Oryctolagus cuniculus: one gene and its partners. The protein of the gene in region 1 interacts with the protein of each later gene in a biochemical or structural test. Links are inferred from orthologs where the notes say so. Each region holds a gene or a part of one and is shown on either strand. Other genes may lie near its edges.

The links.
Region 2: the proteins of SMAD3 (region 1) and TFE3 form a complex in vitro, tested with the Homo sapiens proteins (2 studies listed by BioGRID). The link is inferred for Oryctolagus cuniculus from reciprocal best matches to the Homo sapiens genes SMAD3 and TFE3.
Region 3: the proteins of SMAD3 (region 1) and MECOM form a complex in vitro, tested with the Homo sapiens proteins (2 studies listed by BioGRID). The link is inferred for Oryctolagus cuniculus from reciprocal best matches to the Homo sapiens genes SMAD3 and MECOM.

The regions. Positions count from the first base shown.
Region 1 is NC_091443.1:89,858,330-89,862,074, forward strand, and holds the start of SMAD3 (mothers against decapentaplegic homolog 3), read left to right. Parts: upstream 1-1,054; 5' UTR 1,055-1,610; coding exon 1,611-1,816; intron 1,817-2,187; exon of another isoform or gene 2,188-2,270; intron 2,271-2,330; exon of another isoform or gene 2,331-2,727; coding exon of another isoform or gene 2,728-2,735; intron 2,736-3,745. UniProt on the Homo sapiens protein: Receptor-regulated SMAD (R-SMAD) that is an intracellular signal transducer and transcriptional modulator activated by TGF-beta (transforming growth factor) and activin type 1 receptor kinases.
Region 2 is NC_091453.1:34,191,072-34,194,816, reverse strand, and holds the start of TFE3 (transcription factor E3), read left to right. Parts: upstream 1-1,153; 5' UTR 1,154-1,464; coding exon 1,465-1,580; intron 1,581-2,434; exon of another isoform or gene 2,435-2,456; intron 2,457-3,745. UniProt on the Homo sapiens protein: Transcription factor that acts as a master regulator of lysosomal biogenesis and immune response.
Region 3 is NC_091435.1:111,194,827-111,198,471, forward strand, and holds part of MECOM (histone-lysine N-methyltransferase MECOM), read left to right. Parts: intron 1-1,380; coding exon 1,381-2,737; intron 2,738-3,645.

The DNA of each region.
Region 1 (3,745 bases):
TCTGGGCTGACTTTGTGGATTCGGCCACACCTCACAGGGCTTTGTAACTTCCCACCACTTGAGGGTTTGCAGATAACTTCTTTCTCACCACTGGGGGTTTCCTGCTGTTAAAAACAAACAAAGGCCTTACCCACCAGGGTGGCCTCACAGGGGAGGCCCCTGCAAAGGCAGGCGCTGGGGTAACTCCAGACAGCCCCGAGGAAGGGCTCCTGGATTCTGCGGGTGGGGAGGAAAGCTAGGAGCCCGCCCCCTCCCCCGGTGTGTGTGTGTGTGGGGGGGCGCTGAGTGCCTCAGCTCCCGGAGAACTCAGCACTTTAGTGCGGGGGTTTCAGATTTCGGATCTAGCTGTCTCTGAGTGTGCAACACCCGGTAATGTGACTTTCACCCAGAGACACATTCTAACGCGCCCCCGTTCATTCCTTCACGAACTCAACAGATGTCTTTTGAGGCCCTTTTGCTGCCAAGTACTTGGTTCACAAGGCTCAAGGGAACCCCCCCCCTCAGCTATTGTGCGCGCTGTCACCCGAGTCCTCGCAAACGCCATTTCCCAGGGCCCAGTGTCCCCTCTCTCAGCTCCCGCTCCGCAGTCTCGGTGTGACCTCACAAGCCCCTGGGTCGCGGGCGCCTGCCAAGACCCCTGCCCAGGATCGGCACACACGAGACTAAGTGCGCGCCCCGACCCCCTCGGCCTCGAGTCGGAGTCCGCTCAAGGTCCGACGGCGCCTCCTCGCCCCCGTCCTGCCCGCGACTCCAACCGAGCTCGGGCCCCCGCCTGGGGCCCCTCCGCCCGCCCGTTTCCCGGGACTTCCTCCCCCGCGCACGCTCGGCTGCGGGCCGCGGCCGCGCGGGGTACGGCGCGCTCCAGCCGGGCCCGTCGCCGCCCCCGGTCGCCCACGTGGGCGCGCTCGGCGCGGGGCGGGGGAAGGCCGGGCGGCCTCGGCGGAGCAGGGGCGGGCAGGGCGCCCGGGGGAGGAGGCGGGGAGCCCGGGCGGCGAGGGGGCGGTGACAGCGCTAGGCCGGGAGGCTGCACGCGGATTTGCATGAAACATAGACTGGGAGCGGGCGGGAGCGGGAGCGCCGCGCACGCCCCGGGCCGGCCCCGCGAGCGAACGAGCGCGCCGGGAGGAGGAGGAGGAGGGAAGCGGGGAGGCGAGGCCGCAGAGGCGGAGGGATCTGCGCATCAAAGCGAGCGAGGCGAGCAAAGTTTGGCTGGGGGCTGGACTTTCCTTCCCGGAGGCGGCACCCAAACAGCTACCCCGTGCGGAAACCCAAACTTTGTGCTGCCACTCCGAGCCTCGCGGCCGCTGCCTCCGCCCCACGCTCGGGGCCTTCCCGACCCAGCGCCGCCGCCCGCCCGCCCGCTCGCCCGCCGGCCGCCCTTCTCCGCCCCGTGGGAGCCGTTCGCTCGCGCGCAGGGCCGCGCGCCGAGCCCCGCAGGCTGCAGCGCCGCGGCCCGGCCCTGCGCACGGGGCAAGTTCGCCCGGAGTTGAGGCGAAGTTTGGGGCGGCCGCGGCCGGCCCGAGCCGAGCTCCCTTCTTGCGCCCCCGGCGCCCCGCCGCGCCCAGCCCCGCCGGGGGCGCCCCCTCGCCGCCCGCGCGCCCTCCCCAGCCATGTCGTCCATCCTGCCCTTCACCCCGCCGATCGTGAAGCGCCTGCTGGGCTGGAAGAAGGGCGAGCAGAACGGGCAGGAGGAGAAGTGGTGTGAGAAGGCGGTCAAGAGCCTGGTTAAGAAGCTCAAGAAGACGGGGCAGCTGGACGAGCTGGAGAAGGCCATCACCACGCAGAACGTCAACACCAAGTGCATCACCATCCCCAGGTGGGGGCCCGGGGTTGCGCCGGCCCAGCCCCCTTGGCGCGGCGCGGGTGGAGAGCCGGGACCCGCGGGCGTGCGCGGGGCAGCGGGAGCCTGGCCGGGGGGTGGGGGAGGGAGACCCCAAACAAAACCTCCTTCTGGGAGCGCGAGGCTTCCACGCGGCACTCTGGCTTCCAGACCGCACCTTCGCTTTCCACCTCCGGGATGGGGGTGCGGCGGGTTTGGGGCGGGGGCGGGCGCTGGTGGTGGTGGTGGTGTTGCTGGGATCGGCCGCCCCCAGCCCGGGGAGCTACCGAGTCCAAGTTGAGGCCCGCTTTGTTCGGCTCCGCGGGCGGGAGCCCCTCCCCCGCCGCCGCCGCCTCCCGCCCCCGCGGCCCGCGCTCGCGGAGGTGTAGCTGCCATTCTCCGCGGCGGCCGGGTCCCCTCGCGTCTTTCCGCCTCTGCAGGAATGCAGTCGGTACAGCTGGGGCGGTGGGTGCGGAGCCCTAGCCGCGTGATGGACAGATGCCTTCTTCGCTCTTTCTTTGCCTTTGGGATTAGCATTTGTATCGAGTATTTTTAGACTGGGTTGTGCCAGCCTCCCGCCCCGCTGTGCGCGCACGCCCTGGAGTTGCTGCGCAGGGCTCTGACTTCTTCGAAACGGGAGGTGCGAGTGGCAAGGCCACGGGGTCTTCTCCGTGAGCCCGCCGCCCTGCCCGCACCTTTGCCCTCCATTGTGGTCTGAGACGCTGCAGATCGGTGCAGAACGGAGAGGGGGGCTGGAGCCGCGCAGACACAGCCGCCCCGGAGTGGGCCTCGCGTCCGCCTTCGCATTCCTGTGGAGCCCTCACTCTCAAAGCGCTTTGCCATCTGTCGGGACCGCCTTTATCCTTGCCCGGCGCGAGCCGAGGCTGGCGGGCGCTCACAGATGGCTGATGGAAGGGTCAGTGACTTCTGACACCCCGGGGCCTTCCAGCGCTCAGCCGCGCCTGCTTGGAGATCGGGGTGGGAAGATGGGGGGGGGGGGGGAGGGCTTGGCCCTGCGTCTCTGCTTCTCAGCCCTATTTGGAGTCCGGTTCTGACCCAAGTGGGGCGGGCGCGGGTGGTGGGGACGCCGCAGCCTGGGGGGTCCCGGGCTGCAGAGGAATGAGGAATGGCCCCGCAGGGACTGTCAGCCTCGCTTCTGGGCACGGGTGGACTCCTCTGTCCTTGGCCACCTGCTTGGGGCAGCTGTGCAAGGGCTGCCAGCTGTGTGAGGCAGGCACAAAGCAACATCTGTCCGCAGGAACGCAGGGCAGGCCTCCCCTGCAAATAAATGCTGGGCATGGTGGCAGGGCTGACTTAAGAAGTAGTGAGTTGTGCTTTTTTTTTTTCTTTCCCCTAAAATGGGTGGATCCAGTCAAGAGAGGCGGTGTGCTTTGTGGGGAAGGCACTGTGGGCCGGGGGTCGGGAGCCAGAGTGGACTTCAGAGGAGGTGGTGTAATGGGATGGGCAGAGAAACTTGGGTTTTGGGCCCGCCTCTGGTTTTTAATTCTTTTTTATCCCTTTGGTGGGGGCCCCACCGGTAGAATGGGGGTCTTGGGGGGGTGCTTCTCTCCTGCTCCATGTTTGCCTGGGTGGGTGGAGGACACACAGGCTTAATTTATTCGTGGAAATGGGCAGTGGGGTGGGGGTGGGATGGGTTATAAAACAGGCAGCTGTGCAAAGTGTTCTACAGTTTACAAAGCACTTTCACGTGGTTTTACGAGGTCCTCGAAGAAAGAGACCCATGCCTGGAAAACAGATAAGGCAGCCGGGCTGGAGATGATCTCATTTTCCAAGCGGAGAACACTGGAGCAGGGAGGTGGGCAGGCTTGATCCAGGGGCTGCGCCTTCTGCCGCCCTGTGCTGCTGAGCACTTGGAAGGCTGAGGCTCGCTCGGCCCAAGGCTCGGCCCAAGGCTGGAGCTGTGTC
Region 2 (3,745 bases), on another chromosome or scaffold:
TGGAATTTTGATTGGAATGTACTTATTTTTTAAAGGTCAGTTTGGCCAAGAACTGTCATCTTTATTACATGGAGGTTGTATGTGCACGCATAGATCGGCTTGTTTATCAAGCCAATGGACAGATCTGGGAAATAAAAGTGCTAGCCACAAGAAGGTGCAAGGCAAACAGAAGCCCGGTTTCCGCAGGCCCAGCTGAAGAAAGAAGCTTAGGTGTACAAGGTGTTCTGCAAGCTATGTGCACCTGAAAATATGAACAGGAGCTTCCACTGCGTGTAACACCAATGGTAGTTGGAGGGGCTTAATACACGTTGGATGAACGAACAAATGAGCTAAACAGTTTCTGGAGGGCTTCTTGTATGCCAAACAACCTGCTAGTGCTTTTCATGATTTATCACTAATCCCAACAACCCTGCCAGACAGGGGGTATGAACCCCTTGACAAGCCAGAAAAGCTAAGGCTAGCAGAGGGGCTCCTTATGATCCCAGAAGTCAATCACCGGCGGGACCAGATCTAAATCTCATCCATCTGTCCATCCATCCATCCATCTGTTAAGGATTTATTAAGCATCTACTGCGTGGCACAACGACCATAGTACAACAACCGCTCTAGATGCCGTGCAAAGGCGCAAGGCTCCCTAGAAGCCCAGATGGGCGGCTGGACTGCGAGTACTGAGGGCGGAGTTTCTGACCCGCACTTGCAGGGAATGTCGCTGCCTCTGCCTCATAGTTATGGCTTTGGCCAGGGAGCAAGGCAAGATCCAGGCTGGAGCGCAGTCTAGGGCGCAAATTATTACAAATGTTGGCCGGGAGGGAGCGCACTTCCACAGCCGTAAACTTGACCTAGACACCCTTTAGGCGCCGACCGGTCACCAGCGCGCAGGCGCGGGGCAGTCTAGGAGCGGCTTAATGTTGTGCGGGGAGGTGGAATAATTTGAGAGGAGGGGGAGCGGCTCAGAAAGTGATGCAAGCAGGAGGTGTGGCTTAAGCAAATTACATTTTGCCTATTTGCTCCTGCCACTGAAGGCGGGGCCTAGGTGCTCCCTTCTCGGAACGAGGCTGGGCCAAATGTAGTTTTCCCTTCGCGTAGGAGGCGTGGCTTAGGGTGGGCCTTCGAACCGCACTCAGAGATAGGCCGCCTCACTAGGGGGTGTGGCCCGATGAGCCGTCCATCGCCTGTGTGGTCACTTCCTGTGGAGTTTCCCCAGCCCCGGGAGGAGGGGGAAGAGGACGAGGGGGAGGAGGGCGGTCGTCCGGGGTTAGGTTGGGGGGGTGTCGGTCCGTTCAGGGCGGGGGATGACTCACGGCCCATCCCATCTCTCCGACGCCGCCCGCCCGCGCAGAACTGGCTCCATGGCTTAGCAGAGGAGGAGGCGGTGGCGAGCGGGGGGAAGGGGACTCTTATTTTGTTAGGGGGACCGGGCCGAGGCCCGACCGGCCTGGCAGGGCTCGCCCGGGACCGGGCGTCATGTCTCATGCGGCCGAGCCAGCTCGGGACGGCGTAGAGGCCAGCGCGGAGGGCCCCCGAGCCGTGTTCGTGCTATTGGAGGAGCGCAGGCCAGCCGACTCGGCCCAGCTGCTCAGGTGCGGGGCCGCCTGGGGCCGGGAGTGCAGACTGGGGTCTGATCTGGGGGCAGCGGGAACTCCAGACTAGGATTCTAGGCCCTTGGCCTAGCCCTTGAGGACATCGGGGTACCCGTCTTGGGTGGGGGGGCACCTAAGGAATCCGGCAGTGGCCTGCCTGACCGAGGCTTAAAGCAGTAGTGGGAGTGCAGATTCGGGGGGCTCTTGACTGAGCCTAGAGGGTCGGATTCTGGAGTATCCAGAACCTGGTGAACTTGGGGGACTGGGATTCTGGTTATAGGATGAATCTGACGTCTTTGGGCCGGGTGTGAGGGGAATGAATTTGAGGGGACACTGTCAGCCGAAGCACTGATTTTAAGGAAATCCTGGAATCTTTTTCCTTCAGTGTTGGTGAAGGGGTCCTGGGGGGGGGGGACACAGGTGCTGTCTTGGCAGCTTGGTGACTCCCAGTGGCTGGTAGCTGTGTTTGGGACTAACATGAATCGGGTCGGTTTGGGGGTGTCTCCGATGTGCCGTGTGAATGAGTATGCGTGAACGAGCTAGAAGAGCAAAACATTCAGCAAGACTTGGGCATAACAATCCTTTCACCTCTGCCCACCCAGCCAGCCGGGGCAGATCTCAGGGATAGTGGGAAAGCCCTCTTCCCATACTCCTTAGGGGCTTGAATGGGAAGCGGCCTGGCAGACTTGAGGGCATGGGGATGATGTTACCTCTTAGCCCAGAAAAAGCCTCAGACCTTATTTGGGAACCCAGAGGGTCTTGTTGCTATTGTCACTCAGGCGGCCCTGCCCACACACCCCTCTGCTGTTGATCTCGCCCTCCCTGTCCATCCCTCCCTTCCTGGGGAGGTGATCTTGACTCCCTTCTAGAGCTGGAGTGAGTACCGACTACGCTGTCCCTGCCTGGGTGGGTCTTTGCTGGCCTCCTCTCATCTAGTGGGCCTTGGAGTCCCAGCCCTCCTGTCCACACCCTTGCCCACTCCCCCCCACCCCGCGCCCCTCTCTTCCAACTTGTGTGCAGGGTGTGTGTGTGTGTGTGTTCCTGGGAGGGGGCTTTGCCTCTTCTCTCTGCCCGGGATTGTGCTGAGCTCAGCGGCTCCGGGAGCTTCCTCTTCCTGGGTGGTTTTAGGGCCCCATCTGAGGGTGAGGAGAGGAAGGAAGACAGATCCTTGGGGAGGGGAGAGAATTCTTGTCAAGTGAAGTCACAATCTCTGAGGGACTGAAAGTCTTGGACTAAATTCCAGGGTGCACGTGCGTGGTAGTGGCCCCCCCATGCCAGGGTCCTGGCACCCAGCGCGGAGGGCTGAGCAGGAGCCTCTCAGTATATATCAGTTCAGTGCCTTTGAACTCCTTTGTAACAGCCTGGATCACAGCAGTGGGCAGACTTGAAAGGGAGGGGCGTTTATGACTTCTTACTTTGTGTGCCAGTGGGTGTTGGTGTTGGGGTGGGGGGAGGTTGTGTTTTGATCTCTGAAAAAAAAAAAAAAAGCAGGTGAGGGCAGGGCCGGCTCCTGCGGTGAAGAAAAGAAAAGAATGCTCTATAAAGCAGATCATCCACTTAGATCGATCCCCCTCGTGCAAACCCAGAGTGTGGAAGTCTTTGATATTTCCATTTTTATATTTGGGTGTGTGTTGGCAGCCCATGAACTCTGGCTGGGGCTGGGAAAAAACTCCTTTGGGAAGTGGTAGCTTCTTACGTAAAGCAAATCACAGACCCCGGGTTCTCTTTGGGATGCAGTCAGTGTTGTGTTTACAAGGGACTGTTCTGGCTGAGGGATGCCCCCACCTGGTGTGTGTGTGTGTGTGTGTGTGTACACGCATGTGGGCTCACATTCAACTGTCAGGAAAACAGTAGAGGGTGTGGGGGCTGGGAGGACTTTGACTGCAGAGTCAGGGATCCTTGTGTCAAGTGAATTGGCATTCCTAACTCCTTTGCTTTTCCTCGTGCTCAGGTGGTTGTTACAAGTGATTGTTAGAGTGAGGGGATTGGGATCCAGGCACCCATTATTCTGACTCTTAGGGACGGGGGGTTGAGGACGGGAGAGGGCTGGCAGATGTGGGGATTCTTGGTGGTGGTACCCAGCAGGGTGGCCAACTCTATAGGTCTCTCTCTCTCTCTCTCTCTCTCTGTCGAGGGGAGCAGAGAAGAGAATGAGGAATTCATAC
Region 3 (3,645 bases), on another chromosome or scaffold:
TTTGACTCAGGAGCTCAACCATTCTGCACTTCCAGGCAGTCATCGTGTGCCACAATACACAGGGCATTTTGTCTTCCATTTAATTTCTTAAAATAAATGTGTTTCAGGAATGGCCAACAGAGTATATGTTGTTTCTGCATGTATTAAACATGCACAGAAACATTAAAGTAAACTCACATGGACGATTAGCTCATTTACAGCAAAGGAAAATAAAATAAAATACGATACTTTGAAACAGATATCATAAGCCTGCTGACCTGTGAAGTGAGTGGGATTCTTTCTTAGCAAGGGAATCCTTCGGGGTTGCAAAGTTTGGTCTTAAAATATGCTTAGATCTGATGACACATCCATGAAGAAGAAAGACATTCCACTTTCTTGGTAAATTCCTGGCAAAGGGGGCTATTTCACAGCCGTACCCACTGCTGCGTCGTCCTTGCTGGATTGGAGCACTCCCAGCCCTCTCCCCTGCTTACCACAGTTGGCTGTCACACATAGAAGTCAAGGCCTGAGATAACGGGTGAAGATAGGACAACAGTGGACATGTTTCCCAGGAACGGGGGTTTCATAAATGCAGGAAGATTAGCACAGCCACTGGTGTGAGGGGAAGTCAGAGGACGTGATCATAGTTCATGGGAACCAGCAATGCAGGATGGGCTACATTCAATTTAGTTTCCTTTGCAGGCTTAAAATAGAGCCATTGTAAATTATGTCAGTCTTTCTCAAATCATGAAAATGATTGTTAAAAAAAGTCTCAGAATACACAATGTGCATTGTTATGTGGCTTTGATGTGTGAATGATGAGAGTGTATGATATAATGCTAATTAAATAACAGTAGAGCAGGCACAGATATTCTCTTCAAGGGGAGAGGTATTAAAGTGAAATTTCTGGATGAGGGAAAGGCCGTTCTATTTTGTCTTGGGTCCTACGATGTAGAATTCTTTAACTTGTCTAAAATTAAAAGGGTTCCTTTTATGCTTCATACCTAATATATCTTAAGACTTGTGATTTTTTTTAAAGATTCTATTAGTGTCATTATTGGGTGGGGAGTCAGTGCATGCTGGAATTTGACTTTTTCGGAAAGATTTAAATACACAAATATTATGCAAAATATTGTGCAGTGGGGGAATGACAAAATCTTTAAATATATATATATATATATATGGAATATTTGTGCTGCCTGGAGACATTTGTCAGGTTGGATGCCTTGCTTTGGAATCTAGTAAAATGGGGGTTTTCTGTGTTTGGAGCATCCAGATTGTACCCCCGATATCTTTTCCTGGCTTCTTAATTGAAATTTGGGGTAAACCAATTGTGATACTTGCTAAATTCAGAAGCAATTGCCATAAAGCCTGAGATTCTTTTTTGTTGTTTGCACACAGGTGAGGTCTGCCATAAATCCTATACTCAGTTTTCAAACCTTTGTCGACATAAGCGCATGCATGCTGATTGCAGAACCCAAATCAAGTGCAAAGACTGTGGACAAATGTTCAGCACTACGTCTTCCTTAAATAAACACAGGAGGTTTTGTGAGGGCAAGAACCATTTTGCGGCAGGTGGATTTTTTGGCCAAGGCATTTCACTTCCTGGAACCCCAGCTATGGATAAAACGTCCATGGTTAATATGAGTCATGCCAACCCGGGCCTTGCTGACTATTTTGGCGCCAATAGGCATCCTGCTGGTCTTACCTTTCCAACAGCTCCTGGATTTTCTTTTAGCTTCCCTGGTCTGTTTCCTTCCGGCTTGTACCACAGGCCTCCTTTGATACCTGCTAGTTCTCCTGTTAAAGGACTATCAAGTACTGAACAGACAAACAAAAGTCAAAGTCCCCTCATGACACATCCTCAGATACTGCCAGCTACACAGGATATTTTGAAGGCACTCTCTAAACACCCACCTGTAGGGGACAATAAGCCAGTGGAGCTCCAGGCCGAGAGGTCCTCTGAAGAGAGGCCCCTTGAGAAAATCAGTGACCAGTCAGAGAGTAGTGACCTTGATGATGTCAGTACACCAAGTGGCAGTGACCTGGAAACCACCTCGGGCTCTGATCTGGAAAGTGACATTGAAAGTGATAAAGAAAAATTTAAAGAAAATGGTAAAATGTTCAAAGACAAAGTAAGCCCTCTGCAGAATCTGGCTTCAATAAATAATAAGAAAGAATACAGCAATCATTCCATTTTCTCACCATCTTTAGAGGAGCAAACTGCGGTGTCAGGAGCTGTGAATGATTCTATAAAGGCTATTGCTTCTATTGCTGAAAAATACTTTGGTTCAACAGGACTGGTGGGGCTGCAAGACAAAAAAGTTGGAGCTTTACCTTACCCTTCCATGTTTCCCCTCCCATTTTTTCCAGCATTCTCTCAATCAATGTACCCATTTCCTGATAGAGACTTGAGATCGTTACCTTTGAAAATGGAACCCCAATCACCAAATGAAGTAAAGAAACTGCAGAAGGGCAGCTCTGAGTCCCCCTTTGATCTCACCACTAAACGAAAGGATGAGAAGCCCTTGACTCCAGTCCCTTCCAAGCCTCCAGCCACGCCTGCCACAAGCCAAGACCAGCCCCTGGATCTAAGTATGGGCAGTAGGAGTAGAGCCAGTGGGACGAAGCTAACTGAGCCTCGGAAAAACCATGTGTTTGGGGAAAAGAAAGGCAACAATGTTGAATCAAGACCAGCTTCAGATGGTTCCTTGCAACATGCCAGGCCCACTCCTTTCTTTATGGACCCTATTTACAGGTAAGGGCCAGTAGGAGATGATGAAATGTGAGTGCAGATACGAAAGGTGGTTTTAACACTACAAACTCCCATCTTCCCCAAAAGGTTTTTTATTATTATTATTATTATGAGAGAGTCAAGTTGTTTGATCTAGTGAAATCTGTTTTTTTTTTTTTTTAATTCAGAAAATTGGCTCTGTAGGTTTCGACTCATTTTTGGATATCTCTGAGTTTGGAATAAGCCAACAGAATTTCTTTCCCATGACAATAAATTTATTTTTAAACATTGTTTTTTTGGAGTGGAAAATATGTAAAAGTTGTATTTGAAGTGATTTGTCAAGTGGCAGAAGAATGATACTCCTGGAGGATTAATGCAAACATGTATGGGTACCTTTATATGCAAGAGTCTACTCTGTGTTAACCCATCAACACATCCTTTGCATCTGTTCTGTTTCTCAATAGATTTCTTAAGAGCTCTAAGTAAATGTAATGTTAATCACAAAAATCTGTTTTGTATATAACATGAGTAGTTCTCCTAAAAGAATCTCTATTTTTTACAATGATTTATTTATTTATATGAAAGGAAGAGAGAGAGAGAGAGGTCTTCCATCCATTGGTTCACTCTCCAAATGACCACAACAGCCGGAGCAGGGCCCATATGAAGCCAGGAGCCTGGATCTTCTTCCAGGTCTCCCATGTGGGTGCAGGGGCCCAAAGACTTGGACCATTTTCTACTACTTTTCCAAGCACGTTAGCAGAGAGCTAGATCAGAAGTGGAGCAGCCAGGACTTGAACTAGAGCCCATATGGGATGCAGCACTGCAGGTGGCGTGTTCACCCACAACGCCACAATGCCGGGCCCAGAATCTATATTTAATGGCTTAATTATTCAGGTTTGTTTATGAATCCAAAAATTCTTTAGGTGAAATTA